Ovis aries: one gene and its partners. The protein of the gene in region 2 interacts with the protein of the main gene of each other region in a biochemical or structural test. Links are inferred from orthologs where the notes say so. Each region holds a gene or a part of one and is shown on either strand. Other genes may lie near its edges. The genes, in order: PTTG1, CDC27 and MDC1.

Region 1 (10,131 bases), on a different chromosome or scaffold from region 2:
CCACGCCACTCTTCTCATTAAATTTTGTTTTAAGCTATGTACATTAATGTAATGGGTTTACTGTATTTTAACAAATTAACACTTTTAAACTTTTCAATTTTAATTTAAAATATAGGATATATAAAACAACACACAAAAGTTCTTTGGGGTCTTCACTAATTTTTAAGAGTGTAAAAGTCCTAAAAGAAATTTAAGAAACAGTTTATGTGACCACTTAATTTAAACCACTGAACTGTAAAGGAAAACAGACAGACATAAGACCCCAGAGGAAATAAGTCTGCAACACACAGGGCTAATTATCTTTATACAGACAGTTCTTTACACACACAGACACAGAGTGTAAGAAAGTCACAAAAATCAAGAGAAAACAAAGATACAAACAGAAAATTTAAAAACTATAAATGACCAATAGTCAAATATGCTCAGACACACTCACATACCACAATTTTAAACAACAAAATACCAATTATCTTTCTGACAATTTTAAAACATTTGCAGTTAGAGAACAAGGGGAAAGCGGGCATCCTCATCCACTGAAGGTGGTTTCAGTAACTTACGCTGCTATTTTGGAAGGCAGTTTAGCAATATCTCTTTCCGCCAACACAGCTATTGTATGTAGTCCTCTTTCCTGGCCAATATGCTTAAAGTGTGAAAGTGTTAAGTCGCTCAGTCGTGTCCAACTCTTTGCAACCTCATGGACTGTGGCCTACCAGGCTCTTCCGTTCATGGAGGAATTCTTCAGGCAAGAATATTGGAGTTGGTTTCCACGCCTTTCTCCAGGGGATCTTCCCAACCCAGGGATTGAACCCAGGTCGCCCGCAGTACAGGCAGATTCTTTACCATTTGAGTTACCTGGGAAGCCCTCAATATGCATAAACCTACCTCATTTTCCTGAATGGTAATGATGAGATGCACCACATTTTATCAAAACTTAATCACACAGCTTTGAGACCCAGAAATTCTTCTTGGAGTTTACTCTCTAGGTATACTCACAAACTCTCAACAATAATTGCAGAATTGTTTTGTAACATATATAAAAGCCAGAAACAGCCTAGATGTATACTAGTGGAATAATTAAATGCTCTTTGGATCAAAAGGCAAAAAAACCAGCTCAGGAATCTCAAAGACCCTGTGTGATTTGACCAACCCCCTCACCAGTGTCATCCTTCACTCTACTTTTCAGTTTTCCAGAACCACTCCAGTCCTTCTTTCTGCCTCAAGATCTTTTGTCTGTTACGGTGCTGGCGCCCAGCCCTACCCCTTCTCCACCCAACTATCTCCTTACATCCTTCAAGCCTCCACTGAAAGTCACTTTATGAGAAAACAACTTCCCTGCTCTTTCAGGCTAGGTTCAGTGCCCCCTAACAAGCCCTGTTTTTCTCCTTGGCTCACACTCAAAGTGAAAGGATTTGTTCAGTGTCTGACTTACCCTCCAAATCTTGGGCTTCCTCAGAGTGGGGCCTGCCTTGTTATCCACTACATCCTAAGCCAATAGCGCCTGGCATACAGTCTACTCTCCTCAATGTGAGTACATTAAAGCTTGAAAAAAGCCGACTCTATTATAGAAAATATTTCAGATACATGTAGGAGGTTGAAGAAGTCAAAAAGCACATGTTCTCACTGGCTATGTGGATTTTTCAGGCTTGCTTTTCACTGTTCAACTTGACATCAAGTCCATTTTCTAAAAGTGGGCTTGCTAGGAAGGCTGTCTGCTAACACTGAACAAGTAATCTCCCCTTGGGTGGTTTTAGCTTTTGAGGACAAGAATGTTTTCCCATCTTTGCTCTGATTCCTCTTCTGAATTAAGATAATGCCTTAAAAATAAATCCACAAGTTACCTGTCCAAAGCACCCCAGATTCAGACAGCCTTGTTATAGTTTTAGATCACAAATCATATTCAGAGCCATATCAACTTACAGTTGAATTGGATCCTAAGAGAAACTGAAAGCTAAAGCATTTGGACAATATCAAAAGAGTACCTAATGGATTGAAGGGAAAGAATTTTTCTATTTCTGGATAGGTGTCATCTGAGGCAGGAACCGAAGTTTTTGCTTTAACAGTCTTCTCAGTAATCTAAAAAAAACCCAAGAAAACATCCATTTAAGAGTGGGAGCCTTGTCAACTGATTAGTACATGAGATTAGAGAGATTCTTCAAGACATGGGATTGCTTCATCATATTTTAAATTTGTTTTCAATTTCTAAGAAACCATAATCCCTCATTCTCAAAATCACATACAAATACAATTCAGCAATCAATTATCATGGCTCAAAAGGTAAGGATGAAATACAAGTATTAGCACCTGTTAGCATAAATCATCAAAATACAGAGCAGAGTCTGTTTTTAGTCGGTAAGTCGCGTCTGACTCTCTTGCAATCCCAAGGACTGTGTAGCCCACCAAGCTTCTTTGGACGTGAGATTTCCCATGCAAAAATACTGGAGCGAGTTGCCATTTCCTTGTCCAAGGGATCTTCTCCACCCAGAGATCAAACCTGAGTCTCCTGCATTGCAGGTGGATTCTTTACTACTGAGTCACCAGGGAAGCCCCAGAGTAGAGTTAATTCAGAGCTAATTGACTCAATCGCCCAACCTAACCTAATAGAAGAGAAAATGGGCATAAATCACCCAGAATAGAAACTAATCCTAGAAGCCATTTTTGGCTTTTGGAAATGTGATTTTCCATCAGTGTTACCTAAATTACTGGGTTAATATTAAAAACCAATTTGTTTTCCTCAAATACACAACACTGAGTAAGAGGCAGTCAAAGACAGTCAAGGACTTTAAGATGCCCACCGTGGATAATTCTCTAGTCTGGAACTGGTAGGCAGTCCATGATGGTGGTGGGCCAAAATGGAAGCTTGTAGCGTCTTGATTTATTCTCACATCACATGTGCATGCCTAGAGGAAATTACTAGGACAAGGCTTCCCACATTTCAGTTCTGTCACATTCTCATCATTTTTGCTATATCCTTGCAATACTTACACTTAGCATTTCTCTTACTCAACTCAGTTTTTTTTAAAAAGACATCTTTATCCTAAAACCACACCTAACAGTTTGACATCAAGTATACTAGTTGTTTTTTTCCTAATACACATTGAAACAATTACTGAAATGCAGTGCTAATTCACATGCTGAAGTCATCTTTCACAGCCAAGTCCTCTCGGTCTAGGATGCACTGCCCTACAGTTTGTAAACACATGTACAAAGGTCAACATGCTACCAAGTTATAACCTACAAAGCTAGTGCTTGCTCTGAAAGGAGGGGAAGAGAATGGCAGCACCTGAGCTGTTATACTAGCATCATGACTTCTTGCAAAGTACCCTCTCTCACAGTACTCAAAAGCTTCCCTGGTGGCTCAGAGGTTAAAGTGTCTGCCTCCAATGTGCGAGACCTGGGTTCGATCCCTGGATCAGGAAGATCCCCTGGAGAAGGAAATGGTAACCACTCCAGTATTCTTGCCTGGAGAATCCCATGAACAGAGAAGCCTGGTAGGCTACAGTCCACAGGGTCACAAACAGTAGGACACAACTGAGCAACTTCACTTTCACTTTTCACAGTACTCACTGGTCTGTTTTAAGACACTTGTTAAAGACAGGTGAGGCAAAAATATTAACCAGCTGCTCCTGATACATGTGATCTCAAGGTACAGAGAAGTCAATAAAGACTGTATGATGATTCTCTTCTGTTAATCTAATTTGCTAGTCTCTATTTCCTTCCATTCACAGAGGAGAGTGTCAGGTAAGATGCCAGTAGTCATTTTAAGAGTCAAAGTGCTTTAGTCTTTAATTATAGCCAACTTTTACCTTTTTGGTAGAGAAAGTTTTCTGTTTCTGTTTGAGCGGTCCATCCGTCTTAACTGATTTTTCTGTAGCTCTGTTGACAGTTCCCAAAGCCTTTCTCGCAGTTTTTGGTAAAGCTGGTGGAGCATCAAACATTTTGCCAACACGTGGTGTTGAAACCTGAGATCTCCCATCCAAAGCTTTGACTGCTAAAGAAAAAGTCTTACCATAAGATCATTCCAGCAGTAAACACCTGTGCAACTTGAAAGCTGACTGTGCCTATCAACTTGGCCTAATTCTCACAGCCAAACTTAACCCCCATTTTTGACAGTGGCATGGTCCTATGCCTAACACCATTTCAGTTCACTACTCTCTTAAATAATCTCTTTAAGATACTGAACATGAGGGCTTCTCTGGTTTCTCAGTAGTAAAGAATCCACCTGCCGATGCAGGAGACGGGGGTTTGATCCCTGATCCAGGAACCCCCACATGCCACAGAGCAACTAACTCCATGTGCCACAACTATTGAGCCCACGTGTCTCAACTGCTGAAGTCAGCATCCCCTAGAACCCATGCTCTGCAACAATACAAGCTACTGCAATGAGAAGCCTGGGCATCACAAATAAAAAGTATCCCCTACTCATCGCACCTAGAGAAAAGGCCAGGTAGCAATAAAGACCCAGCACAGCCAAAAATAAATAAATAACTTAAATTTTAAAAAAAGATACTGAACATGAAGAGACCCATAAGTACTCGGCAGTAAGAGTATTGGGTAAACTCGACTCCCACTGGGCTTCCCAGGTGGCGCTCGTGGTAAAGAACCCGCCTGGCAATACAGGAGATTTAAGAGACTCCGGTTCAATCCCTGGGTCAGGAAGATCCCCTGGCGAAGGGTATGGCGACCCACTCCAGTATTCTTGCCTGGAGAATTCCATGGACAGCAGAGCCTGGCGGGCTACAAAGTCCATAGGGTCGCAAAAAGTCGGACATGACTGAAGCGACTTAGCACGCACGACTCCAACTGCCCACAAAGTATATTTGGGCCTTCCCCAGCTCCAAGCCACACCCACCACTGATTCACAATACCTGTGTACCTGATAGCCGCCTGTATACTTACAAGGCACAGACCCCAGCTTCAGCCCGTCCTTAGGAGCCACATGGCTGCCTGGTTCTCCATTTTCCTTATCAACATAGATCAGAGTAGCCATTCTGGATCAACTAGAGGTGTGAAACACTCGTTAAACCTTGGGAGTTAGGGAAGATGAAAGAAGCTAAAGTGTAGCACTGACCCAACTTTCTACCCTAGGGACATCTACGCAAAAACAGGAGCTAAGCAGAGGTAGAAGCCGGATCTTGAGCCAACAAGCATTTAACCCAGCTCTTAATTCTTGACGCCTGCGTCAGGGACCCTAAATTCCTTAAGAGTTGGCGGTCTGGGACTGGCACAGGCCCTGGTACTCATTGGAACCAAACTGCCGTGGGTCGCGTACGCAGTTCAAAACCGTGGCTCAAGCCAGGCGAGCGCGTCTGACGTTTCAGGGAAGTCCCAGCCCCCAAATCCCAGGCCCCGGGTCCCAGACACCCGGACCCCGGTTCCCAGGCCCCGAACGCCACACACACACAAAGCCTACTCCCGCTTCCTAAGCCGCCGGACCGTGCCCGCCCAACCACTCGGTACCGCTCGGTTCACCCACATTCGGAGTAACAGCCAAACTCTCGCAAGACTCTTCTCCACCGGACGCGCCAGACTCCGCGTTTAAACCACAACTTACACCCCTATTGGTTCATCCATCCAGGAGGCGGGACAGGGGCGGGGCGGAGGCTCCGGAAGAACCAATGGTAGGAACCTAAGCTCCCTGGGCTCCGCCCTGAAAGCTTTTCCCGGCAAGTTCTTCGTTTGTTCCCCGGGAGGAAAAAAAATCAAAGCCTCTCACAGCTTGGTCGTGGATGTCTATTAATGGTTGTTTTTTAATCTCCCCCCCAGAGAGATAGAGGAGAGTAGGTACAGTCTTTAATTCCAAGAAAGTTATTATTAATGTTATACCAAAATACAGAGTTGGCTTTTGCGATTTTTTTTTCCCTGAGACTCTTTGGTGTGCGACGTGAAAATGAAAGTCGCTCAGTCGTGTCCGACTCTGCGACCCGATGGACAATACAGTCCATGGAATTCTCCAGGCCAGGATACTGGAGTGGGTAGCCTTTCCCTTCTCCAGGAGATATTCCCAACCCAGGGATCGAACCAAGGTCTCCCTCATTTTGAATTGATTCCTTTATCTTGTTTAATATATTTCCATTTACCATAGAAGGGCTTCCCTTGTGGCTCAGCTGGTAAAGAATCTGCCTGCAATGCGAGAGACCTGGGTTCTGTCCCTGGGTTGGGAAGATCCCGTGGAGAACGGAAAGGCTACCCACTCCAGTACCCTGGCCTGGAGAATTCCATGGCAGTCCATGGGGTCGCAAAGAGTCGAATAGGAGGACTGAGCGACTTTCACTTCACTTTACCATAGAAAGGACCTCCCTTGTGGCTCAAGTGGTAAAGGGTCCACCTACAACGCAGGACCCCAGGGTTCCATCCCTGGGTTGGGAAGATCCCCTGGAGAAGCGAAAAGCTACCCACTCTAGTATTCTGGCCTGGAGAATTCCATGGACTATCCATAGGGTTGCAAAGAGTTGGACAGGACTGAGCCACTATCACCTCACTTCACCATAGAAAGGAAAAGGTCACCAACTTTTTAAAGCACAATTTCATTATACTTTAATTTCATTGCAGGCGGATTCTTTACCAGCTGAGCCACAAGGGAAGCCCAAGTCTTTGGTGTCCAAGACATTTTTAAATGAGAAGATAGTGAACTTCAAAAAGTCAAAGTGAGATGGTGACAGAACTATTTTCCTAAAGTCTTGAAGTAATCAACTGTTTTTCCAGAGAGTAGATACACCGGATCAAATTAAAAAGAGGCAGCACGGGAGGAAAGGCATTGTAGTCATTGGGGAAATGACTATGGAAGATGAATTTCAAATTAGAGGTATAAAAAATACATATATAGTCAATAAATAGTCAGTGGGAGGAAAACCCATATTAGATCTAGAGAATATTAACAGAGCACAATTAAACATTAAGAAGAAATGAAAGTACAGATAAAGTGGCAAGTTTGTGTCATTCTGTTGTGTTTGTGATTAAGAATGGAGTGATTCTGAAACTAATACAATATTGTAAGTCAACTAGACTTCAATTTTTTTTAAGTGTACTGATTTTTTCCTAATTGCAAGACTATCAGTATTTCAGGCTAGGATGCTATCTCCATTATACAGAATCTGTTGTTCAGTTGCTCAGTCGTGTCTGACTCTTTGCAACCCTAGGAACAAAACAATGACCTAAGAGTACACAATTCTGAACTTGAAAGTCTATCAGTTAATAAGGACTTTGTTTTTGGCTGCGCTGCGCAGCATTCAGTATCTTAGTTCCCCAACCAGGGATGGGACCTGTGCCCTTTGCAGTGTAAGAGCAGAGTCTTATCCACTGGACTGCCAGGCAAGTACCAATATACTTACTTTAAACCTTTAACATCTCAACAATATATTCATCAAAGCTGGTGGGGAAGGACAGAAGGGTGAACAAGAGAAAAACAACAGAGGAATTATAAAGACATACAAAATGAATTCCAATTTCCAAGACATGGAGAAATTTTGCTTTGAAAAGTTAGTGACCTTTTCCTTTCTATGGTGAAGTGAAGTGAAAGTCACTCAGTCCTGTCTGACTGTTTACAACTCCGTGGATAGTCCATGAAATTCTCCAGGCCAGAATACTGGAGTGGGTAGCCTTTCCCTTCTCCAGGGGATCTTCCCAACCCAGGGATCGAACCCAGGTGTCCCGCATTGCAGGTGGACTCTTTACCAGCTAAGCCACAAGGGAAGTCCTTCAATAGTAAATGGAAATATATTAAACAAGATAAAGGAATCAATTCAAAAGACCAAGGATGATCTGTGCCATCCAAACTCTACTCCCAACAGGTCACCAGATACTTTTTAACTTAGCAGGAAAGTTGGGAGGGAGGAGTTAAGCCTACATTACTCTTTCACCAAAGCCTTAGCACTACAACTGGCATAGATATGTTTCCAAATATATACCAGTTCATTGTCCCTTCTTCCCTGGCATTTCAGGGCCAAAACATTGAATGGCTCATTCATTCAATAAATATTTATTAAATGTTAGTCACTGTGCTAGACACCAAGAGGAGGAAAAGTGCGTATCTTTTTTGCCCTTTCCATATCCTCTTTTATCCCTAGTTTATTAGTTCAGTTCAGTCACTCAGTAGTGTCCGACTCTTTGCAACCCCATGGACTGCAGCACGCCAGGTTTCCCTGTCCATCACCAACTCCCAGAACTTGCTCAAACTCATGTCCATTGAGTCGGTGATGCCATCCAACCATCTCTGTTGAACACTTCTCCTGCCTTCAATCTTTTCCAGCATCAGGATCTTTTCCAGTGAGTCAGTTCTTTGAATCAGGTGGCCAAATATTGGAGCTTCAGCTTCAGCATCAGTCTTTCCAATGAATATTCAGGACTGATTTCCTTTAGGATTGACTGGTTTGATCTCCTTGCTGTCCAAGGGACTCTCAAGAGTCTTCTCCAACACCACAGTTCAAAAGCATCAGTTCTTCAGTACTCAGCTTTCTTTATGGTGGAACTCTCACATCCATACATGACTACTGGAAAAACCATAGCTTTGACTAGACCTTTGTAACCCTCCCATTATTTCCTCCCTATATCTCCTTCTAAGTGCCTCAGCTCTGAATTACATCATTAGCACACAAAAATATTTATATTGAAACCAAGTCTGCACAACATTGAGAAAAAATTCAATCAAGTAAATTTGAAGATCTAATTGGTTTTATTAAATGACTCAAGAATCAGACAGCCTCCCACCTAGAAATCAGAAGGGTGCTCCAAGGGGTTGTACAAACTGAGAAATTTTTAGAGGAAAAAGGGTGGGGCATGGGAGCTATTAAAAGAAAGGATTATTTATAGGCCAGGACCTCTTTGGAGAGGAGAAAGGAAGGAACAGCAAGGTTTTCACAGCTAATTGCCTCTTCTTCCACTGAGAGGCAGAGTGGGGTTGAAGGGATAATGGAAAGGGGCCACGTGCCAGATTACTTCTTCAGTACTGACCGGGAAATTCCCAACTGGTTGGTTGGATTACATTTCTGGTGATAGTATTTTGAAGTTGTGATTAGGTTAGTTATCAAATATAAGTTTTCTATCAAGGGCTTTAGCACAAGTAAAGCCATTTTGGGCCTGTGGCTTTTCTCTTTAACAGCACCTACAGCTTCCAAGTGGGAATTCTTTATCTCCTGATATTTTTGGATGCAAAGTTTCTATCTCCCTAGGCTAAGTCTCCCCTCCTACAATACAAAGCACTGTTTCCCAAGGTAACTGTAAAATGCCACAACCAACTCTTTTGTTTTCTTACTAATGATGCCCCAAACTCACTTTGCTATGCCCTGGACTGTTACTGTTGCTGCTACTGCTAAGTCGCTTCAGTCCTGTACGACTCTGTGCGATCCCATAGACGGCAGCCCACCAGGCTCCACCGTCCTAGGCAAGAACACTGGAGTGGGTTGCCATTTCCTTCTCCAATGCATGAAAGTGAAAACTGAAAGTGAAGTCACTCATTCGTGTCCGACTCTTAGTGACCCCATGGACTGCAGCCTACCAGGCTCCTCCATCCATGGGATTTTCCAGGCAAGAGTACTGGAGTGGGGTGCCATTGCCTTCTCCAGACTGTTACTGGTGATATCCAAATTGCTAAACTACCCTCACTTTACAACCGCACCAAGATCCTAATTGTTCCCAGTTTATCAAACAGCCATCCCATCCAGAACTGATCCCTGCTTCTCAGATCCTCCTTAGAATCCTCCAGGGGGAATCTGAACCTTACAAACAGTTCTTCCCTCTTGTCCAGCACATTCCATAATTCCACTGGGAGATGTATTCCCTGACTTGTGCCTGGTAGTTTTAACTAAACAGACCTTAACACTTTCAAACAAATTTCAGGAATTGTATTAAGGAGATAAAAATTAAGTGTGAGTGATTCATAGACTACTCACTTTCAGACTATTTTCTGACAATTTCCATTCCTTCAACTTTTGCCCTGTAAAATCAAAATTAATATTTACATTGCTATGCTCTATGCACTAAAAATTCTTAATAAGAGTATGATGAGATTCTCTTAGAGGCAAAGATGTCATTTTGATATCTGAAAGAAACACATATTGTTTTGAAAAATAAAAGGTTACCAGAACAGATAGGATTTAAAGGGGGGGGGCGGGGGAACTGTACTCCAAAAGTATTACT
Region 2 (9,579 bases):
GGCCATACATCATCTAGAATTAGCTTAAACTTGTGACTCCCCTGAAATTCCTTAAAAGTTATACAGATAAATTTTCCATTTTTTCAAACACACACTGGTTACAAGAAAACAGACCTAACCACCTGTCAAGTACAGGCTTTAAAAATCTGGTTTAAAATATTTCAGAATCTATTGTTTCCTCTGAAAAATGATTATGCCACAGACAGAAAGGAAAACTGGAACAAAACTAAAAATTAAGTTGAAACAAAGATTTCCTTTAAATATCTGGGTCTACATCTGCTCTATGATTAGGAGTAACACAAAAATTCATGTTAAGAACCCACGAAACAAATAATTTTGAAAAGGCTTGCCAAACCCCACTTATACCTATGTACCAAGTAAAAAAATCACAATTCAGCAATGAAAAAGGGTGTCTACAATTGTTTTTTCTTTATTACTCAAAATTACAAGAATAGGTATCTTCTGGATTTATTCTCCACCTGGAAGAATACTACACCCCTAGAGCTCTGCATGGCTCCTTAAAGGAGCAATAATCTTCTTTCTCTGAGCATGTTTTTTTAAAAAATAGCACCATACTTCACTGTTCCCCAATCTCCTTACCATGCTTCATTTTTCCTTCATATGATTTATTGCTGTGTCCTTATACATTTATTGGCCTATAATTTCTCTTACTAGAAAGGGGGCTTCCCAGGTTGCACCAGTGGTAAAGAACCTGCTTGCCAATGCAGCAGATTTAAGAGACATGAATTCAATCCCTGGATCAGAAAGATCCCCTAGAAGAGGGCACTGCAACCCACTCCAGTATTCTTGCCTGGAGAATTTCATGGACAGAGAGGAGTTTGGTGGGCTACAGTCCATAGGGTTGCAAAGAGTCAGACACGATTGAAGCAACTTAGCATATGCACACTTGCTAGAAAGTAAATTCTGTGAAGGCAAGCAATTATCTGTCTAGCTATATTACAGTATAGAAGAGAGTCTGGGATATAATATGCACTCAAATACATGCTGAAAGTAAAAAGGGCAAACAAGTGATCTTATTATCAACTTTAAATAATTTATATTAGGTTTCTTAAAGCTTTTTTTAAAGGTTTTTCTAATTTAAGTTTAGAGGTGGGTGAGGAAGTGCTTTGAAAGTAGAACTGGGGAATAAATTAGAATTTTCTTTGGCTTTAGGTTAATCATCCTCTCCTTACCTGATTTAAAGAGATAACTTAAGCAACAAATATAATTAAAATTAAAATGATAAAACCTTACAATAAGAACATTATATCCTCAATTACTTACAACTTTCTTCATTGTATTAAGTTTATAAAACATACTAAGTACCAAAAATTCATCCCAGTAAGCTCTCTATATAGTAGAAAGAATTTTGATTATAAACGTCTATTTACATGGTAAATACATATTTTCAGATCCAAGTAAGTAGAGTACAAATGTTCCATGTAAGAATTAGTTTGGTTCTCTACAAATCTATCTCAAGTAATCCCAAAGAATTCAAATTACCCTTAACACAAGAAAGAACTGAACTGATAAGTTATTAATACTGACAAAATAAAGACATTACAAAATAAATACTGACCCTTCAGATCTAGCCTTCTCAAACATAATTTTAATTAAATTTAAATTACCTCTAGAAAGGCATATGTAACTTTTTAAATACTTACTTGCATGTACTCTGAAAGTTCGAAATAGGCCCTTCCAATTTGGCACAGCACCCAACCAGTATTGTAGTGGTGAGAAGGTAGGTGGCTCAAGATATTAATAGCTTCTTTGCAGTTGTATGAACACAAAGCTAAATAACCTTTCCCCATTTCACGAAGAAGGCTCATCAAACCTTCTGGGAGAAAATAATGTAGTAAACAAAGGAAAATAAAACACAATAAAGCTGCCTGGTTTTCTAGGAAGGCTAATTAAAAAATATTTCATTAAACTTTCCAACACTGGGCTTCCCTGGTGGCCCAGTGGAAAAGAATCTGCCTGCCAATGCAGGAGACACAGGTTCAATATCTGGTCCAGGAAGATCCCACGAGCCACAGAGCGACTAAGTCCACGCACCACAACTACTGAACCAGAGCTCTGGAGCCTGCGAGCTGCAACAAATGAGCCCACATGCTGCAACTACTGAAGCCCATGGACCTAGAGCCTGTGCTCCGTAACAAGAAATGCCACTGCAACGAGAAGCCCACCCACCGCAACCAGAGAGCAGCCCCTGAGAAAAAGCCCACACAGCGGCAATGAAGACCCAGCACAGCCAAGACTAAAAATGAGTAAATAAGAAAATGACCAAAAAAGAAAAAGGAAAAAAATGCCAGCATCTACCCAGAAAAAATGTTTCTTTAATGAACATAAATGAACTTACTTAAAACAAGTGAATAAAATAAAATATAAAGAAGATTTTAAGCTTTTAAAACAGACCTGCTGCTGCTTTCTGTAGATTAAATGCCTGGATCTGAGGGGTAATTGTGGAGATTTTTCCTTCTGAAATGATTGAAGAGTCTAATTTTGTGATTTCCAGGCTATCATTTATGTTAGGTTGAGTTATTCCTCCTTTATTAGTTTTACTTTTTGTTTTTCTGTTTGGGATTTTAGGTGGAAACTTCATTTTTAATTTTTTGCTATTCTCCTGTAACAAGAAGGAAAATTCAATAACTTGTTATACTCATGTATTTTAAACATCTATCTAACCCTTTTTCTCAAGTATTAGATATAAAATAAACATATGGTTTTGACTGATCTACATTTTTCTCAGAAAATTTTATAAAAACAAAAGTCTTCAAAGTCACTTAATGTAAAATGCAACAATTCTGAAAATAAATCATATTAACTAACTAGTATTTATTACATTAGCTTTAAGCATTTCTCTTTATTCAAAGTATATCACTTTCATTTATTAATTAAAAATAAGAAAGTAAGGAGATACAACAACTACCTAATTGTCTCAGAGCACTGAAATCTGTAAGGTATAAAACTGCTGATCTATATGTCACAATTAAAGACTGTCCGTAATATTTGTCAATGGATGAAGAAAATTTACCAAAGGTATAAAACTCTCCAGTTGTCCAAAGAAATGTGCAAAGAAAAAATTTTCATTCACTCTTCCCACAATCCTTCCCAATGGAAACATGTGACATAACCACAGTATACCATCAAATCCAGGAAACTGGAATTGGTGCAATACTAGCAACTAAAACTATAGATCTTACTTGGATTTCATCAGTTTTCACATGGACCTTTTAAAAAATTTCGGTGTGTACAGTTCTGTGAAATTGTGTTACATGTATGGATTTATTTAATCAACTACCACAATAAAGATTCAGGACTATTTTACCACTACAAAAAGAGATTCCTTTGTGCTATGCTATAAAAGACACATCCTCTCCTCAGTCCTACCTCCCAGTAACTATTGATCTCCTCTCCATCTCTGTAATTTTGTAATTTTAACATTAAAAAAATGTTAAATGGTCTCCTAATGTATTCATTAGAGACTGAGTCATCGATGAACAGAAATTTCAGAGGAGGAAGTATTAAATAAATGTGACATACAGAAATTTTTAAATTACCTTGGTTGTAGAGCTGTCACTAGTAAAAAGTCGCGAACTTCTTCGAGGCAGTGCATTTGGGGGAGATGTGATAGTGGGGCTCAATACCTGAGGTGTTGTACTAAAAAAATTATAAAAGTAGATATTTAAAAAACCTGTTTATGACCATTAATTATTATTTCAAGTATATTAAAAATATGCATTCAACATGTTTGTATTCTAAAATTGATGAGATCAATCCTTTCCTCACCCTCCTATGAAAACTCATTTAAAGAACTATTCTTGTTACCATAAAATGATATAAATTATAGCACAGATCTTCACTCTATTTGAAATTGCTCATTCAAACATAAAACAATCCACATAAAAGTTCTGGGTCAATAAATAGTAAACATCTATAAACCAATTATCTTTAGTCCTTATTTGGAACTATAGAAAGTTAAGGAAAAACAAAGCTGGACATAGTCTAAATGTGGGATATTTGCTAAATAAATATTACTAGAACAATTGATACCTGAGAAGTTATTACCATGTAAGTTCAAACAGCCACATCAAGGGATTATTCTGCAGAATGAGAGAGGGGGACATGGACAGTAAAAGTATTTGAAGAAATAATGGCCAAAAATTAGCTAAATATGATGAAAACTATCAACTAACAGATCCAAGGAGCTCAATGAATTTGAAGCCCAAGAAAGGAGAAAACACACTAGAGCATAATCAAATGGATTAATATCAGTGATAAAGAAAAAATCTTAAGAGTCAGAGAAAAGAGACAGATTACATACACAGAAACAAAAATAAGGATGGCAAGAAGTTTCTTATCAGAAACAATGCAAGCAAGAAGACGGTAGAGCAATGTAAAGAAAAAAACCTGTCAATTAGAATTCCATACCATGAAAATATCAATCAAAAATAAAAACAAAGGTGAAACGAAAACTTTCTTTTGAACATACAAAGGCTGAAAAAATTCATTACCAACAGACCTAGACTACAGGAAATGTTAACCACTCTGTAGAAGTAAAATATATGACAACAGCATAGAGACTGAGAAGACGAGTATGAAAATATACATTACAAGGTTTATACTCTAAGTGATATGGTACAGTATTACTTGAAGGTAGACTTTGATAAGTTAAAATATCTGATATAAACCCTAAAACAACCTCTAAAACGACAAGATAAAGAGTAATTGTTAATAAGGCAATGTTATGGGTTGAATTGTGTCTCCCAAAGGGATATGATGAAGTCCTAACCTCCAGTACTCTTAATGTGAACTTTTTGGGAAATATGGTCTTTGTGGATATAATTAACTTAAGATGAGGTCATCACGGTGGGCGCGAATTCAATATGACAGATGTCCTAATAAGAAAAAGGAAATTTGAATACAGAGGCACACAGGGAAGATGGCTACGTGGAGACAGAGGGAAATACTGAGTTGCCTACTACAAAATAAGGAATGCCTGGGGCAACCAGAAGCTGTAAGAGATAAGGATCCTCCCCTAGTGACGGCCCTAGCGATACCTTGATTTCAGATAGAACTGTGAGTGAATAAATTTCTGTTGTTTTAAGCCACCCAGCTTGTGGTACTTGGCTAGGGCAGCTGTTGGAAACTAAAACAGGCAATAAAGAAGGTAGAGTGGTACACATCAACTATACATCAACTAAGAAGATAAAAAGTTATTAGTAATACAAAGAAGGCAAAATTAATGTAATTCATGTGTATTACAGTTAGTATATTTGTTTAAATGAAATGCATAATTCAGTAAATTATGTTTATATATTCTTGAAGACTAACATATATTTGGACTATTAATGTGCTCTGCAGGAGGCTCAGGCTCCTTCTTATCACTGAGCCCTAGGCAATCACTGCCACCTACCTGAGAGTTGGCACTCATAATGAGACTTACCAGCCAGGCATTTTAGAAATATTGAGGCCTTTTATATAGTCAAGGTATATGCACACGTGTACCTATTTTAAGACTTATGGTACATGTTCACTATTTTGGGAGGTAAAGTAGCTTTCTCTTAATATATTAGCTATAATTTATTTTTGAGGCCTTGAATAGGAAAAGAAATCTTATTTAACACCATTTCTGTGTGAAAATGGATTCATCATTTGAAGATTTATTGGCAGATTCATACTATGATATACTTATAGAAATGCATAATAGGGGAAGGGGAGAATAATCTATCTGTACTTGATCAGTGGAGAAGGTTACATAAAAAAAAAAGAAAATTATTTTGGAGGAGTGCTAACAATATCTAGTTTAAACAAACTCACAAGGCAATTAGAATAAAAAGGTATTTTAGCTAACTCTTGTCTTGATTTGCATTGTAATATTCAAAAATTAAATTTCCTTTTTCAGTAAGTTGGAAATTCCAAATTTAACATATTCAGAATTTACAATAGTCATTCCAGAATTCTTGGAGCAGTCAAAACAACCTGCCTAAACTGAAGAACTGTTTCACAACAAGAAAAGCTAAACAATATCAAATTATGAGACCAAATAAATACCTTGTTTGCGGGCCAGAACTTTGTGTCTGTGCAACAAGAATTGGAGTTACCTCTCGACTGTTTCCACTCTGTGAGAAGACAGACTTTGTTCCAGTTTGGCCGATTCTGGCAACAGACTGTAAAACACAAAAAGTCTAAAGTTTGTGAATTATAAATTGCATTGTGAGTGGTAAAAGACATCATGATGTACCCATCTACATTTCCCCAATACAAGATTTCATATTATATACTGTCATTTGAAAACACAAACTATTAATGTCATTATTGATGTCATTTTAGGTTAATTAATTATTGATATATTAGAATGAACATCATCCTATTTCCTCATATTAAGCTCAGTATTTTTACCTTTATACTATCTTTTTATCTTTCGACTTTAGTTATCAAGGAAAGGCTTAAGATTCCTAGAGGCCATTTATTATGTAACTTTCCCAGTTGGGGCTAAGTGCTAAAAAACTTTAAGACAGCTACTATTCTCAAGAGTTATGATCTAATTTAGTATACATAAAAAATAATAAAGTAAGATTTTATACCCCTTCTTTGGCACTTAATAAAGACAGTCTTAGAGTAATTCAGATTAGTAGATTAAAAAAAACACTGGGTTATTTTCCAAATTCTAAGAATATTGCACTGAATTAGTATTTCTTTTTGATGTGTTCAATCTTCTGGACTGTGCTTGTCCCTTCTCTCTTCTCTAATTTATCACCTTATTTCTATTTATTTTCATCACTTAACTTTTTTATAAAGTGATCTGTGTCAGCGAATATTGAAAAAAAAACATTTTACTACCAATAAATTTCTCCAAAAATTAGTTACTGTGATAGTCACTGTATATAATTCTGAAATTACACATTATAAATAATCATTAATAATTACTTTCTCACCATACTGAAAGCCTTATTTTGGCCTTCTCAACATTTAACATCATTGATCATGCCCACCCGCCTCGCCCTTCTGAAACTTTGTGTAATTTCTAAAATATTTAGTATAGTATCTTGATTATTTGTTCTACCACTTCATTTGCTGGCCCCTCTTTGTTCCACTGTTTTAAATTAAGTTCCTTAGCAACTCTCTCTTTCTCTAGGAGAGCATGGTCATGTTGTATCTATCACTTGGTCATATTCTTTCCTCTGTAACTAACTATCCACTGAATATTTTCACCTATTTTCTGGCCCTTCCTTATTTAACAAAGAACTATCTGCTGAACTCACTACTTGGTTTGATATTTTTAGTTAATACTGCAGGGAGATTTGGAAGTATAGCTTTTCCAAGAATGTCTTGTAATAGAGTAAAAGAACAGGGGCAGAAGAGGCTTAGACTGGGCAATGAAACCATATACGCCTTTACTACCTAACTTGTCCTTAATTACTCTGACTCATGGTTTTGGCCTACTTCCCCTGGCATGCTAACCATTGTCTTATTATGCCTTCTTATAACTGTAATAAACTAATTTCCACATATATATGTCACTTTCATAGTAATACAACAGCAGGTAGTTGTCAACTTTTTAAAAATCCAGTTTAAAACACAATTTCCATATTAAATACTTTTAGTTCACGTTTACCACTCTTGGAGTTCCTATTATCACTCATTAGGAAGCTATCATATAAAAAACACTGCTAAAGTTCAGGAGTAAAAGAGTAAAAACAAAACAAGAAGAAACATGTTTCTCTGAGGGTAAAAGGGCTATCGCAGTCATTCGCCTACCAGTATGACTCATTTAGCTTTCATTTCTTAAATATCCATTATGCACAGCAACAGGCATTTACATATATAACCTAATTTAATTCTCACCTAAGATACCCTGCACCACAGATACGTTTTATTTATTTATTTATTTTTTTCCACAGATATGTTTTAAATAAACCTCACTTTGGCCTCTACTGCCACAGACAGTAAAAGAACATTATAAAAAGAGTCACAGTTGCAATGCAGTCTTATTGCAGTATTTACTATAAAGATTCTATGAAATATTTTTCATTTTACTACACTTTAACTCCATACCTGAGTATCCACCATAAAAATTTTATTATCACAAAAAGCTAGCTTTATGTGAGTCATCTTTTTTCATGTTAATATTAGTACAACTGAAAAACAAATATACTGGTGGGGATAAGCAAAAACCACAGCAGGTATAATTTCCATTATTTACATTCAAAGTGATCATCTTAATTTTGTTTTTTAAAAAAGGAACTTAAATGCAAAAATCTGAATATGCTTAATTAGCTATATGCTGAAATAAACTACAGTTGTGAGTTACAAACTTACGTGGTCAAAAGAGCAACCAGCTTTGCGTCTTCTACTATACCCAGGAGGCTATAATAATGATGACCTTCTTTTACATTTAGATAATTTCTCTAAGGCAACAGCAATTCATTATATTTTACAAGGAAAATACCTTTTTTGAAGGGGCTCCGGTGGGTGGCACGTCAATTACAGAAGATGTATTAGTGTAGTTTTGTAAATAGGATCCATCTCCAGGACTTGGGGTTTCTAATGGCAAAATCCCAAAACTGAGAAGAGGTTGAAATCAAGGTGTCAAAAAGTCATCAAGGCATATATAAAGCAGCAGTATACTTAAATTAGAAGGTCTAAAAGGAAGAGAATGGCAAATCAGTCTTGGGGGCATTGAGGATCTAAGGGGCAGATTAAAAATAAGCTGTGAATATAGACTATTCCACCCACCAAAACTAAAATTAAAAGAAAAAATCAAATAAGGAACTAAACTGAGCAGTAACTACAGATCTCAGGAGATTTATTAGAAATAAAGAAGAGTAGCTTTGTAAAAGCTAAGATCCAAATTATGAAATTAGTTCAAATTCTTGGAATTTATGTGATTTAGACACTATTACAGAGAAAATATCCTTAGAGACCAATGAATGCATGTGTGGAATCAATGAGCTTTGTAATCTCATGGTCATACTATTTAAGCAATTCTCTGGCCCTGGGACCCAATTCACAGTCTGTTCTAGCACATAATTTTTTATTTTGATTCTTTTGGAAATGCATCCTCTGGCCTGGGTTCCTGTATTTATTCATACATATATATTTCTAAAAATTTTCACAGAACATTTCATATATTGAGAGGTGTCAATCCTTTCCCATTTTGGAATACAGCACTTTAACCATTGCTATCACTGATTATAAGCATCCCAACATTTTAAGAGGTTCACTGCTATTCACTGATGCATAGTCATAAACAGAGTATCTTTTAATGCATACAACAGCTGAATAAGGAATGCTTAAGTTTAAAAATTTTCTCCAAAAAAAAAAAAAATAAAATAAAAATTTTCTCCAACACTTAATATGAAATTCTTATTACAGATACTGTATTTTTATTACTTGATTGTCTGAAAATGGAATAGACTCATTATTGACTTATTAAATATCTCTATTTCCATAATGATTTAGAAGTTGCTGTTCATATTAATTTATATTACCAATATAGGAATTACTCTAAGATCATTTAATATTACAGCACATTTTAAAGTATCTTCTATTTGTCTTACCTTGGGGTTAACGGGC
Region 3 (10,284 bases), on a different chromosome or scaffold from region 2:
ACAAAGATGGCCTCACCTTCCAGGCTCTGATTCTTTCTGTCTACAAAGCACTGGGTAGCTGGTAGGTCCAGATCTTCAGAATCTGGTGGGGAGGAATGCAGGATAATTAAAAAACCAGAGCTGATCCTAACTCCTTTTCTCTATAGTTCTCTCCACAGCCCCAATCCTATGCAATAGCCTGAATCTGTGTCTCCCCAAATATTCTTATGTTGAAACCTAATTTCCAATGTGAGGGCATTAGGAGGTGACTGGGAGGTGACTAGGTCATGAGGGCGCAGCCTGCATGAATGGTATTAGTGCAGGCTCAGCCGTGGCTCAGTGATAAAGAATCTGCCTGCCAATGCAGAAGACACAGGTTCAAGCCCTGATCCAGGAAGATCCCACATGCCCTGGAGCAACTAAGCCTGTGTGCCACAACTACTGAGCCTGAGCTCTAGAGCCCATACTCAACAAGAGAAACCACTGCAATGAGAAGTCAGTGTACTACAACTAGAGAGTAGCCTTGGCTCCACATAACTAGAGAAAAGCCAGCGCAGCAAGGAAGACCCAGCACAGCCAAAAATAAATAAAGTCATTTAGAAAAAATGAGAGAAAGACTCCAGAGAGCTCCCTTGGGCCCTTTTGCCATATGAAGACATAACGAGAAGACGGCTATCTGTAAGAAGCAGGGCCTCATCAGACACTGAATTTGCTGGTATCTTGATCTTAGACTTCCCAGCATTTAGAACTGTGAAAAATAAACTTCTGTTGTTTTATAAGCTACCTAGTCTATGGTCTTTTGTTATAGCAGCTCACATGAACTAAGATACGCTAGAAGCAAGAAGCATTCTTTATCGCAGACCTCCAGGGAGGAAGAAAGGCCAGCACTTACCGTGGAGGTTGTCTCCAGAGTCTGTGGCCCTATTCCCATATGGTTCTCTCTCCCTTCCTGTGGTGGTCTGGGCCCCCTCTCTCTGCGGTTGGGGCTCCCCTGGAGTGCCTATGTCCACCACCATATCTGCTAGGTCTTCCCTTGAGACCGGGAGAAGGTCTTGCTCCCCTGGTGCCGTGGATGACCCACCCTGGGTCCCGATGGCAAGTGCTCTGTCCTGTTCAGGAACGGCTGCAGCCCACGTGGTCCCAGCATCTTTTTCCGCCGGAAGCTGGCTCTTTCTGACAGCAGATGTGTTCTCCGAATCCAGTTCACAGTCCCCAGCTAGAGGAGGCCGGGCTTCCTCTAGACGCAGCACGGGGAGCTGTGCCGGGTCCCCTTCTGCCTCCGCATCGGTGTGATGTGGCCACACTATGCCTTGTACCTGACGCTTCTCCGGAAGTGCAACAGCTGGCCCCAGTGGGACCTCATCCTCCACTTGTGCAGAGGCCTGGCTTCTCTCCAGGTGGACCCCCGGTGAGCTCTCATCTTCCTTCCCCTCTGTATCACTGTCCCTGGGAAGGTGCTGGCTCTTTTTTGAATATTCCCTGTCCATGTAACCCTTGGGAACCATTCCCCTCCTTTCCACTGGGAGCCCCTCTTCCTCCACATCTGTGTCACTGTCTCCCCCAGCAGAGGCCTGGCTTCGCTCCAGAAGGGCCACGGGTTGGGCCCTGGTCTCTTCTGCATCTGGATCTCGGTTCCACTTACCAGCCTGGCTCTCTCTTAGACATGCCAGTGTCAGTGCTGCTGAGACTTCTTCCTCATCGTCTGTATTGCTGTCGATCACCACGGAGGCTTGGCTTCTGTCTGGGGGGGCCTCCCCCTCCTCTATATCTGTATCACCATCAGCTGGGCTCCCCTGCCAACGTGCCACACCAGGTGCCTGGGGGCTCTGTGTACCAGCTTCGTGGAAGATCTGCCTCTCCTTCATGGGAACCACTGCTGGGGTAGCAGGGATCCCCTCGTCCTCTCCATCGGTATCACTGTCTATGAAGTTACAAGACCAGGCCCTTTTCGGACGGACCCCAACAAGCCTTCTTCGAGGCCCACTCTCATCACTCACATCTGTGTCACTGTCCTCCCCAGAAGGCTGGCTCCTCTCCAGAATCACTCCAGTCGGAACCACCCCATTCCTCACATCCCTCTCGATTTCTGTGTCCCCGTTCCTCTCCTTCACGGAACACTGATCCTTCTCAATCTGGATCTCGGCTGTGACAGGTTCAGGCTGTTCCGTCTCTGCAGCGGTACCTCTTCTGGCAGCTGAAGAGGCCTCCCCTGCTCCTGATTCCTGACTTTCTTCCTCATCCGTGTCGCTGTTCAAGTTGAAGGCAGAAGGTGGCCCGGGCCCATCTGGGGCAGGGGAAGGCCCTTCTTCATCACTGTGAAGGGAAGAGAAGAAACCTATAGAATCGATTGCCCCAGAAGGGATATTCCACTCAAGTAGGAACTCCTTGAGAGCAGACGCAAGGTAGTACTTGCTGTTCTGTCTCCAACAATTAATTCTCTAGTTGGCACATGAGACGCTCAGTAAAAATTCAGTTGAGTGAAGGAGTATGTGTGGTTCCCCAGCCCAGACTTTGATGGTAATTAGCTCTCCCAGAGATGGCTCCTCCAGCCCCTGCTTCCTCATCCATCTGAAGACTCAGATGCCTGGCCCTTTGACACTCACCTCTCTGGAACGACTGTTGCCGAAGAGGAGGTCCTTGGTCCTTTCACCACACACTTGTCCAAAAGGGAATCTGTCATGAGTAGAAATGAGTAAGTGGAGAGTTTTACACTCACCGTCCCTGTCTCCTCACCCACCCTCCTGATACACAAACTTACCTACTTCTTCCTCTGAGTCCTCAGCCAACAGAAGCCTGGAGGGTTGAGTTCCTCCCTGTACCCTGGGTGTCTCCTCTACACTTAGAGGGCCCCGGGAGACAAAAGGCCGGGGGACATCCAAGCGATGGTACTGGCAGGGCAAGTCAGCAAAGAGAATCAACTCCCGGTCCCGCAAACGATGACTCACCCCAGGGCTCAGGACCTTAGGAGGCCGCAGGATTTGAGTGCCATTGAGGCTCCCGCAATCCCGAAGGACAGGCGCCTTGTCCCAGGCAGAGATTTCAATCACTGCATGTTGTTTGGATATTGATGAAAAGGGCAGGGCCACAGAGCAATCAGGCATTCGGCCTATCATGTTCTTTCCAAGGTAGAGTGGGAAGTCTAAGAATTAGAGAGGTAGGTGAGTTCCAAAGCCATACTCCTAACTTGCTATTAAGAAAAACATCTGTTAAGTTCCCCACGACTCACTCAAGGTCCCCCTCATGCATTAGAAAAATAAAAGGCCCTAGAATAACTAGCTAATAAAGAATATGTGCAATGCATTATTCATAGTCAACATTCCATCCATCTACACTGGATTGTTTCTATTGTGGTAAAATATATATAAAATTTGGGCTTCCCAAATAATAATGTCCCCAGTAAGACATTTTTTCCAGATCTCACAAATGCATATCTAAGCTTGCAATCATCCTATTACCTCCCCACAGAAATAAGAGGCCAGTACTTTAGCATGAAATTACTCCTGACCTTTTTCTGGTCCATAGGAACTACTGAAGATATGCAGCTGTGCTAGGGGCTCCAAGCTATACCCCAGAGATTCATTGGGGCTCTCTGCAACCTCCTCCTCTTCTTCAACTTCCCAGTTTAAAATCTGGGTGTCTTCCATGATCTGAGAAAAAAACACATTATCCCTTCCTTCAGTGGCTCACACACACAGCCTCAGGGAGGAGACTGGTTACTGCAGTCTCCTGGATAGCTATGGAGGCTGATGCTTCTCTTTCTGCCAATCATTCTGTTGTTATTCCTCTGAAGCATTTAAGAAATATCTCTGACCATGACACAGAATAAGAAAGAAATGTAACAGAGTTCCAAGTACAGAAATATAAGGGTCTTCCCTGGTTGTCCAGTGGCTAAGACTCTGCACTTCCACTGCTGGGGGGTGCAGGTTCCATCCTTGGTCAGGGAACTAAGATCCTGCATGGCCAAAAAACCAAAAAAAAAAAAAAAAAAAAACCACCCACAGAACACCAACAAAACAAACAAACAAAAACTGAGTTGAGAGACTTCTCTGGCGGTCCAGTGGCTAAGACTCTGTGCTCCCAATGCAGGGGGCCAGGGTGCAACGCCGGGTTAGAGAACTATAGCCCACATGCCCCAACTAAGGCCACACAGCATGTGGGATCTTAGTTCCCTAACCAGGGATTGATCCCTTGCCCCTGTAGTGGAAGCACGGAGTCCTAACCACTGGACTGCCAGAAAACTCCTTATTTTACTTTCTATTTCTCAGATAAAGAAACTGCAACAGGGATGGAGTAACAGATTTGTCTAAGATCACTCAGATAATGGGGCTTCCCTTGTGGCTCAGCTGGTGAAGAATCTCCCTGCAATGCGGGAGACCTGGGTTCAACCCCTGGGTTGGGAAGATCCCCTGGAGAAGAGAAAGGCTACACACTCCAGTACTGTGGCCTGGAGAATTCCAGGGACTGTAGAGTCAGATAAGACTGAGTATCTTTCACTCAGATAATGTCTCTTCCTGTTTAATATTCTTTGATGGTTTTCCATACCCATAGGATAAAATATATCTAAACTCCTTAGCAAGACCCTCAACGATCAGAACCTCATCTCCTGAAATGTGTGTCCCATCCCCACCCCGTCCAAGCCTGTGGTTCTACAACATGGACCTTCTCCTTAATCTCTGAACACACTGTCCTCGTTCTCTCACATCTGCAGGCCTTAGCCAGCTCCTTAGGACGTTGCCCCTAGTGTTGTGATCCAACTCCTATCCATCCTTTTAGCTCAAATGTCACTTTCGAAGCAAAGCCTTGCCTTTAGTCTTCTCTGTGTTCTGGTACTTTCCCCTATTTCCCATGTATCCTAAGTGTTTCACGGTGGTTGGTGGACTTATATTATCCTAATAGGTCTCACCATAGTGTAACTATTACATTCCATTTCTGCCTCACACATCCCCCTTGAGAACTGGACCAGTTAGAACTGTCTTTTCCCCAAGGGTCCATCATGTTAATTCAACAGTAGTTACTGTGTACCTGATACCATTAGAGATATTTCGAATACATTCATGAGTCAAACGTAAAATTAACTCTGCTCTCCTGATGAAATAATAAGATGAAAAGTCAAACTAGTATGGGTGGGAATTAAATTTGAAAGATGCTACCTTAAAGGGAAAATGTAGACAAGGAAAGTGGGACACCTCCATGGAGAAAGTGTTAACATCGTTTCATGAAGGCGAAATGAGCGGCGCCCACGACCTTCGGCTCCAATCCAATGGGCCTTCAACTTTGATCTCGATCCCAAGGGTTCCCTCTGAGCCCAACCTCTCCCAGTGTCTTCATACCTAAACTCAGGGAGGGCCGTCAAGTGAAGATGAGGGTTATAATCCGAGAAGCAAATTTCCAAGAATCCTCCGCCCAGTCGTAACCAAGGCACGCCCCTCCCGCCCTCCGGGAGAACCAAGATGGCATCCGGGGAGTCGTGGGCGAGGCCCCCCAGAACTCACCTACTTTGAGTCCCCGCGCGCGCCACCAGTAACGGCTGCGACAGGGGTGGTGCCAGTGCCTGAGCGGGGAAGGGGCTGATTAGCTGATTGGCTGAAGCCTTTGTCTTTCTCGGCCCTGCGGCAAGCAGACGGAGCAATCCAACGCGGAGGCATAGCCGGAGCCCCGCCCCCGCCCCGCCCCGCCCCCTTACGGCTCAAAGGGGCGGCTTCTCCGGGGAGACAGATCCGTTGGACGAGGCGGTAATCGGAAGCCTCGGAGGCGCACAGAATAGCGCACTTCGATTGGGCAGCTCCAAAGGGACAACCCACTGCGGTTTCACCACCCACTTCCCGCGTATATTTCCAAGTTGCGACCACAGAGTCTGGATGCCAGCAGCGGATAGAGGGGCTTACCACAGTCGTCGACCTAAGCATGTAGTGCGGCCAGAGCGCCTTCTCTGGTCCTCCCAGAAATGGTGTCCGCTGACTCATGAGAAATATAAGGGTTGCGGGCTGCAGTCGTGGCTGAAGACTTCAGTCTGGAGAATAGCCCGTAGGCGTGGCGCTTGAGGACTCACTACAATGGAAGTTCATTTCCTTTTGATTTAGCTCATCTAGAAGTCATGTCATTTCCTCCCTGAGAATCCATTCCTGATGGACACTTTGAGGTCATTATCCTAGAGTAAAGATATCTAGGCAAACGGAGAGAACTCTTTTGTTAACCATCTTAAAGGCTGACCGAGGTCTTTGAAGGGCTACAGAATGGTAAATTATTTTGCTAAATTTCATACTAAGACAATTTCACAGGAATAATTTAGGAGGACCTTTTGCATTAGTATTCTCACTTCGTTCTGACCAGAAATAAGAGTTCTGCGGAAGTTAGCTTGCCTAGGCTCCTACGGCTGTTAGAGACAAACTGAAACTGTTTAATCGTGAATTCTGAACTCTCTTCACTACCACAAAATAACTACTTTCACTGTGATTGTGCCTTCAAACATAAACATTTTAACTGGGTAGACGAGTTTTACAGAAATTTATGTTCTTTTATTTAGAAGATGAGAAATGTGTGTTGAATCCAGTGTGAATTAACACCTTGCTATCATCTAACCAAGTGCCTCATAGGTAAACAGCTCTCTTGCCAATTCAGGAGACGCAGGAGAAACGAGTTCGATCCCTGGGTCGGAAAGATTCCGCGGAGAAGGAAATGGCAACCAGCTCCAGTATTCTTGCCTGGGAAATCCCATGGACAGAGGAGCCAGGCGGGCTGCAGTCCATGGGGTCGCAAAGAGTCGTACATGACTGAGCACATACGGAGCCTGATATCCCATGTCCTTTAATCATGGTGCTTACCACACTAGTGGTTATACACTTCTCACCAAATTGCAAGATCCTGGAGGACAGTGAGGTAAGGTGAAGGTGAAGTCGCTCAGTCGTGTCCTCTTTGCGACCCCATAGATTGTAGCCTACCAGGCTCCTCCGTCCATGGGATTTTCCAGGCAAGAGTACTGGAGTGGGTTGCCATTTCCTTCTCCAGAGGATCTTCCCAACCCAAGGATCGAACCCGGGTCTCCCACATTGTAGGCAGACGCTTTACCGCCTGAGCCACCAGTGAGCTAATCCTTCATCCTAGCTCCTTTGGTGGACATTTAATATCGCTCAAGTTGAATTAATCCCTGAGAAGAAACATGCCACTCAGATTTGAGCTCATCCATTTTTTTCCCATCACCCTCCCTACTTTTATTTTAATCCCGAGGTTCTTGAAAGATTGCAATGGTCAACCACCTCTCAGTGAAATCAGCGAGTTGAAAAAACACTGACTTCATCAAAGTGCCTATCAGGTATCTCACCCCACAGTTCGCCTCTTGACAAAACTGTGTTAAACGCTGCTCTAAGGCGCAGATTCCCCACATGGACGGAGACTTCCGGCATATCTGCTTCTCTATTCTTGAACATACCTTCCAAACAATTACTTTTTATACTGAAAAGTCCTTGATGCAATTTTGTTTCTTTCTAAATATTATCGTTAGAAAGCTCCCAAGGAAATAGCAGGAAGGCAATGCCCTCCTCCTTCCCGAGATATCTGGGGGAGCCGGAGCTCACTGGAGTTCATGCCAGTTGGGTCACCAGGGACCAGCTGTTAGATAGCAGATCAGGGTGCCGCATTTCTCCCCGTTTTCGCTGAGCTAAGCAGTCCTGTCTTCCCAAGAGCTACCGCAGCGGGGAGCTTTCAGGGCGTGCCCTCACTCCACCTTCCAAAGCCTGGCACACCAGGGTTCCCAATTCCTGTACCCTGCTAAAACTACTCTCTTTTGATACCAGAAGAGTCAGGCATAGAGGAAGGAACCCTAGCGCCAGGCCGTTTTTCAGTCAAAACACCTAAACCAAAACCCCCAGACCCAGTACCCACCCATTCGTCCTTTCATTTTGCAGCGTGGACAACAATAGAGAACTACAACTCCCAGGCAGGACTGCGCTCGTCCAGCAAGGACCAATGGACTTGTGATACAGGACCGGCACGGACTAATCAGGGCCAGCCTAGTGAGGCTTTGTCTCTCCACCGCGGCGCGCGGAGAGTTCTCCCGCCTCCCGGCCCCCGCGCACGCGCGCCCCGCCCTGCCCGCCTTTCCTCCCGCGCCCTCCCCTCTCCTTTCTCCCTCTCAGAACCTTCCTGCCGCCGCGTTCGGACCTCGCTGCTTCAGCCTCCGGGTCCCGTTCCATCTTTTCACCCTGCGACCAGCAGCAGAGAAAAACTAATTCCGTATTATTTTTTTGCCCCGTACATACTTTGAGGCGAGCAAAAAGATTAGAATAAATTTTAACAATGAGGGAAATCGTGCACATCCAGGCCGGTCAGTGTGGCAATCAGATCGGTGCCAAGGTAAGGATTTTTAACCTCTTTTGACTGTATTTATTTTTAAGGAAAAAAAAAACAAATCCAAACAGGTATATTATGACGGATGGTTGTAGAACGTTTGCATCTTCCATTCTTAGTCCAGATTTGCCCCTCAAAACTTTTATATATAAATGCACCTTTGAACCTTAGGATTTGCTTTTGAAAAATGAGGAATTATTTTTCTTGGCAGGCTTATTTTGGGGAAGCTGTTAAAAGCACCCTTCAGGGTTAGGGGGCGGGAAAACCGAGTTTCTGTAAAATTTTACTTAGAAAGGGGATCTCCTAACGGTCCGAGGACCGGGGAGCGAGGGAGATGCGGAAACGGCCCGAGACAAAAGCTGGATGAGGTTTTCCCCATGTGCATCCCCCTTGGCGGGGCTTCGTGGGGCTAACCCAGAGGGGGGAAGGGGCGAGGATGGCGGGCAGCTGCCGAGAGGTCAGATCCAAATGTAGGGGCGCGCTGAGCCAGGTGGGCTGGGCGATATCCTTTACAAATGATCAGGAATCTCCGGGCGCTCGCGATCCCCAAGGGGCGGTCCCGCAGTTTTTCGTGCATGGAAGGCTAATATGTGCTAGACTAATTTGTTCCTTTTATTTCCCCTTAACAGACTCTTAAGGGCGTGGACAGATAGGGAGAAAGGGCGAGGAAGGAAAGGGAGTCCATTCTTTGAAGGGGTTCCTCAGAGCTAGAGAATAGGACAAAGGAAGAAAAACCTCATTTAAAGCAAGGGGGTTAAAAGCTAGCAAAGAAATGAAATTTCGAGGCCAAGGGGGAGGGTTTTTTTTTTTTTTGCGCGCGGTTACAGTGTAGCGGGGGAGGGGCAGGGAGGAAGTGCGGCTGCTACGTTGTAGCAGAAGGGCGGGACCCGGGCGCCCCTGGCGCGCTGGGACAATGCGGCCAGGCTGGCCGGCGGGGGGCGCGCGAGCCCGAGCCAAGCCCCGCCCCTGGCGCGCGGAATTCGCCCTTCGGCCCCGCCCTCGCGCGGCACCTCCCTTTGTCGGCCGCCTGGCGCGTGCGTGCGCCGCGGTCACGTGCAGGGCGGGGTGGGCTGCTGCAGTGCCTCCTTTTCTTTGCACCCCTCCCCGCCCCGTCTCTTTGTGCCCAGGGTGACTACCTCCATCTACCCACCCCGCGCAATCCCCGGACCCTTTAAGCCACACAGCATCTCACGTCCCAGGCAGTGAAAGCTGCCTTTTCCCCGAAGGTGCATGTGGCTAGGGGAAGGGTGTGGCAGGCAGAAGAAATGCTAGATCTTTGGGGAGGGCCCGCCACAGGCGAATCTGGAGCTAAAATGGCAGTAGGGGAGCATAATTGGCTGCACCCTGAGATGCTGAAGACTCTTTGCTCTTCCCTGGCAGTTCTGGGAGGTAATCAGTGATGAACATGGCATCGACCCCACCGGCACCTATCATGGGGACAGCGACCTACAACTGGACCGCATCTCCGTGTACTACAATGAAGCCACAGGTGAGGGCAAGAGCCCGGGAAGCAGGGGTCCCATCTCTCCCACTTCTTTGGGGTCTCTGCCTCCCCGGGACACCTTTTACCCCCTTTGAATGAATCTATCTACACTCACTGGAGACCTTTCTCGCTTTTCCCAGTGTCTCTGCTGCCACCTGGTGGCAGTGTCTGAAATCACACATATGGGTCCCCGGCTCTCTTGGCCCCAATTTATTTATCTCTATGTCTTCCAGTTTTCACTCTTCTACTTTATTTCTTCTAGGTGGCAAATATGTCCCTCGTGCTATCTTGGTGGATCTAGAACCCGGAACCATGGACTCTGTTCGCTCAGGTCCTTTTGGTCAGATCTTCAGACCAGACAACTTTGTTTTTGGTGAGTTAGGGAAATATCAATAGATAGTGCTAATCGAGTTATTTGGGTGCAGTGAGAGTTAGAAATGATTGTACTTGAGTTTATACAGACTTGTGTTTTTAAATCT

Evidence for each region.
Region 1: the proteins of CDC27 (region 2) and PTTG1 form a complex in vitro, tested with the Homo sapiens proteins (3 studies listed by BioGRID). The link is inferred for Ovis aries from reciprocal best matches to the Homo sapiens genes CDC27 and PTTG1.
Region 3: the proteins of CDC27 (region 2) and MDC1 form a complex in vitro, tested with the Homo sapiens proteins (2 studies listed by BioGRID). The link is inferred for Ovis aries from reciprocal best matches to the Homo sapiens genes CDC27 and MDC1.

The regions. Positions count from the first base shown.
Region 1 is NC_056058.1:69,561,752-69,571,882, reverse strand, and holds the start of PTTG1 (securin), read right to left. Parts: upstream 5,512-10,131; 5' UTR 5,400-5,511; intron 4,998-5,399; 5' UTR 4,988-4,997; coding exon 4,897-4,987; intron 3,989-4,896; coding exon 3,804-3,988; intron 2,074-3,803; coding exon 1,980-2,073; intron 1-1,979. UniProt on the Homo sapiens protein: Regulatory protein, which plays a central role in chromosome stability, in the p53/TP53 pathway, and DNA repair. Probably acts by blocking the action of key proteins.
Region 2 is NC_056064.1:45,950,667-45,960,245, forward strand, and holds part of CDC27 (cell division cycle protein 27 homolog), read right to left. Parts: coding exon 9,564-9,579; intron 8,568-9,563; coding exon 8,453-8,567; intron 6,189-8,452; coding exon 6,055-6,188; intron 3,661-6,054; coding exon 3,561-3,660; intron 2,624-3,560; coding exon 2,416-2,623; intron 1,838-2,415; coding exon 1,665-1,837; intron 1-1,664. UniProt on the Homo sapiens protein: Component of the anaphase promoting complex/cyclosome (APC/C), a cell cycle-regulated E3 ubiquitin ligase that controls progression through mitosis and the G1 phase of the cell cycle.
Region 3 is NC_056073.1:27,416,463-27,426,746, reverse strand, and holds the start of MDC1 (mediator of DNA damage checkpoint protein 1), read right to left. Parts: upstream 5,511-10,284; 5' UTR 5,172-5,510; coding exon 5,130-5,171; intron 3,627-5,129; coding exon 3,485-3,626; intron 3,119-3,484; coding exon 2,738-3,118; intron 2,653-2,737; coding exon 2,583-2,652; intron 2,293-2,582; coding exon 872-2,292; intron 83-871; coding exon 17-82; intron 1-16. Other genes in the region: TUBB (tubulin beta chain), read left to right, coding at 8,272-8,328, 9,703-9,811, 10,068-10,178. UniProt on the Homo sapiens protein: Histone reader protein required for checkpoint-mediated cell cycle arrest in response to DNA damage within both the S phase and G2/M phases of the cell cycle.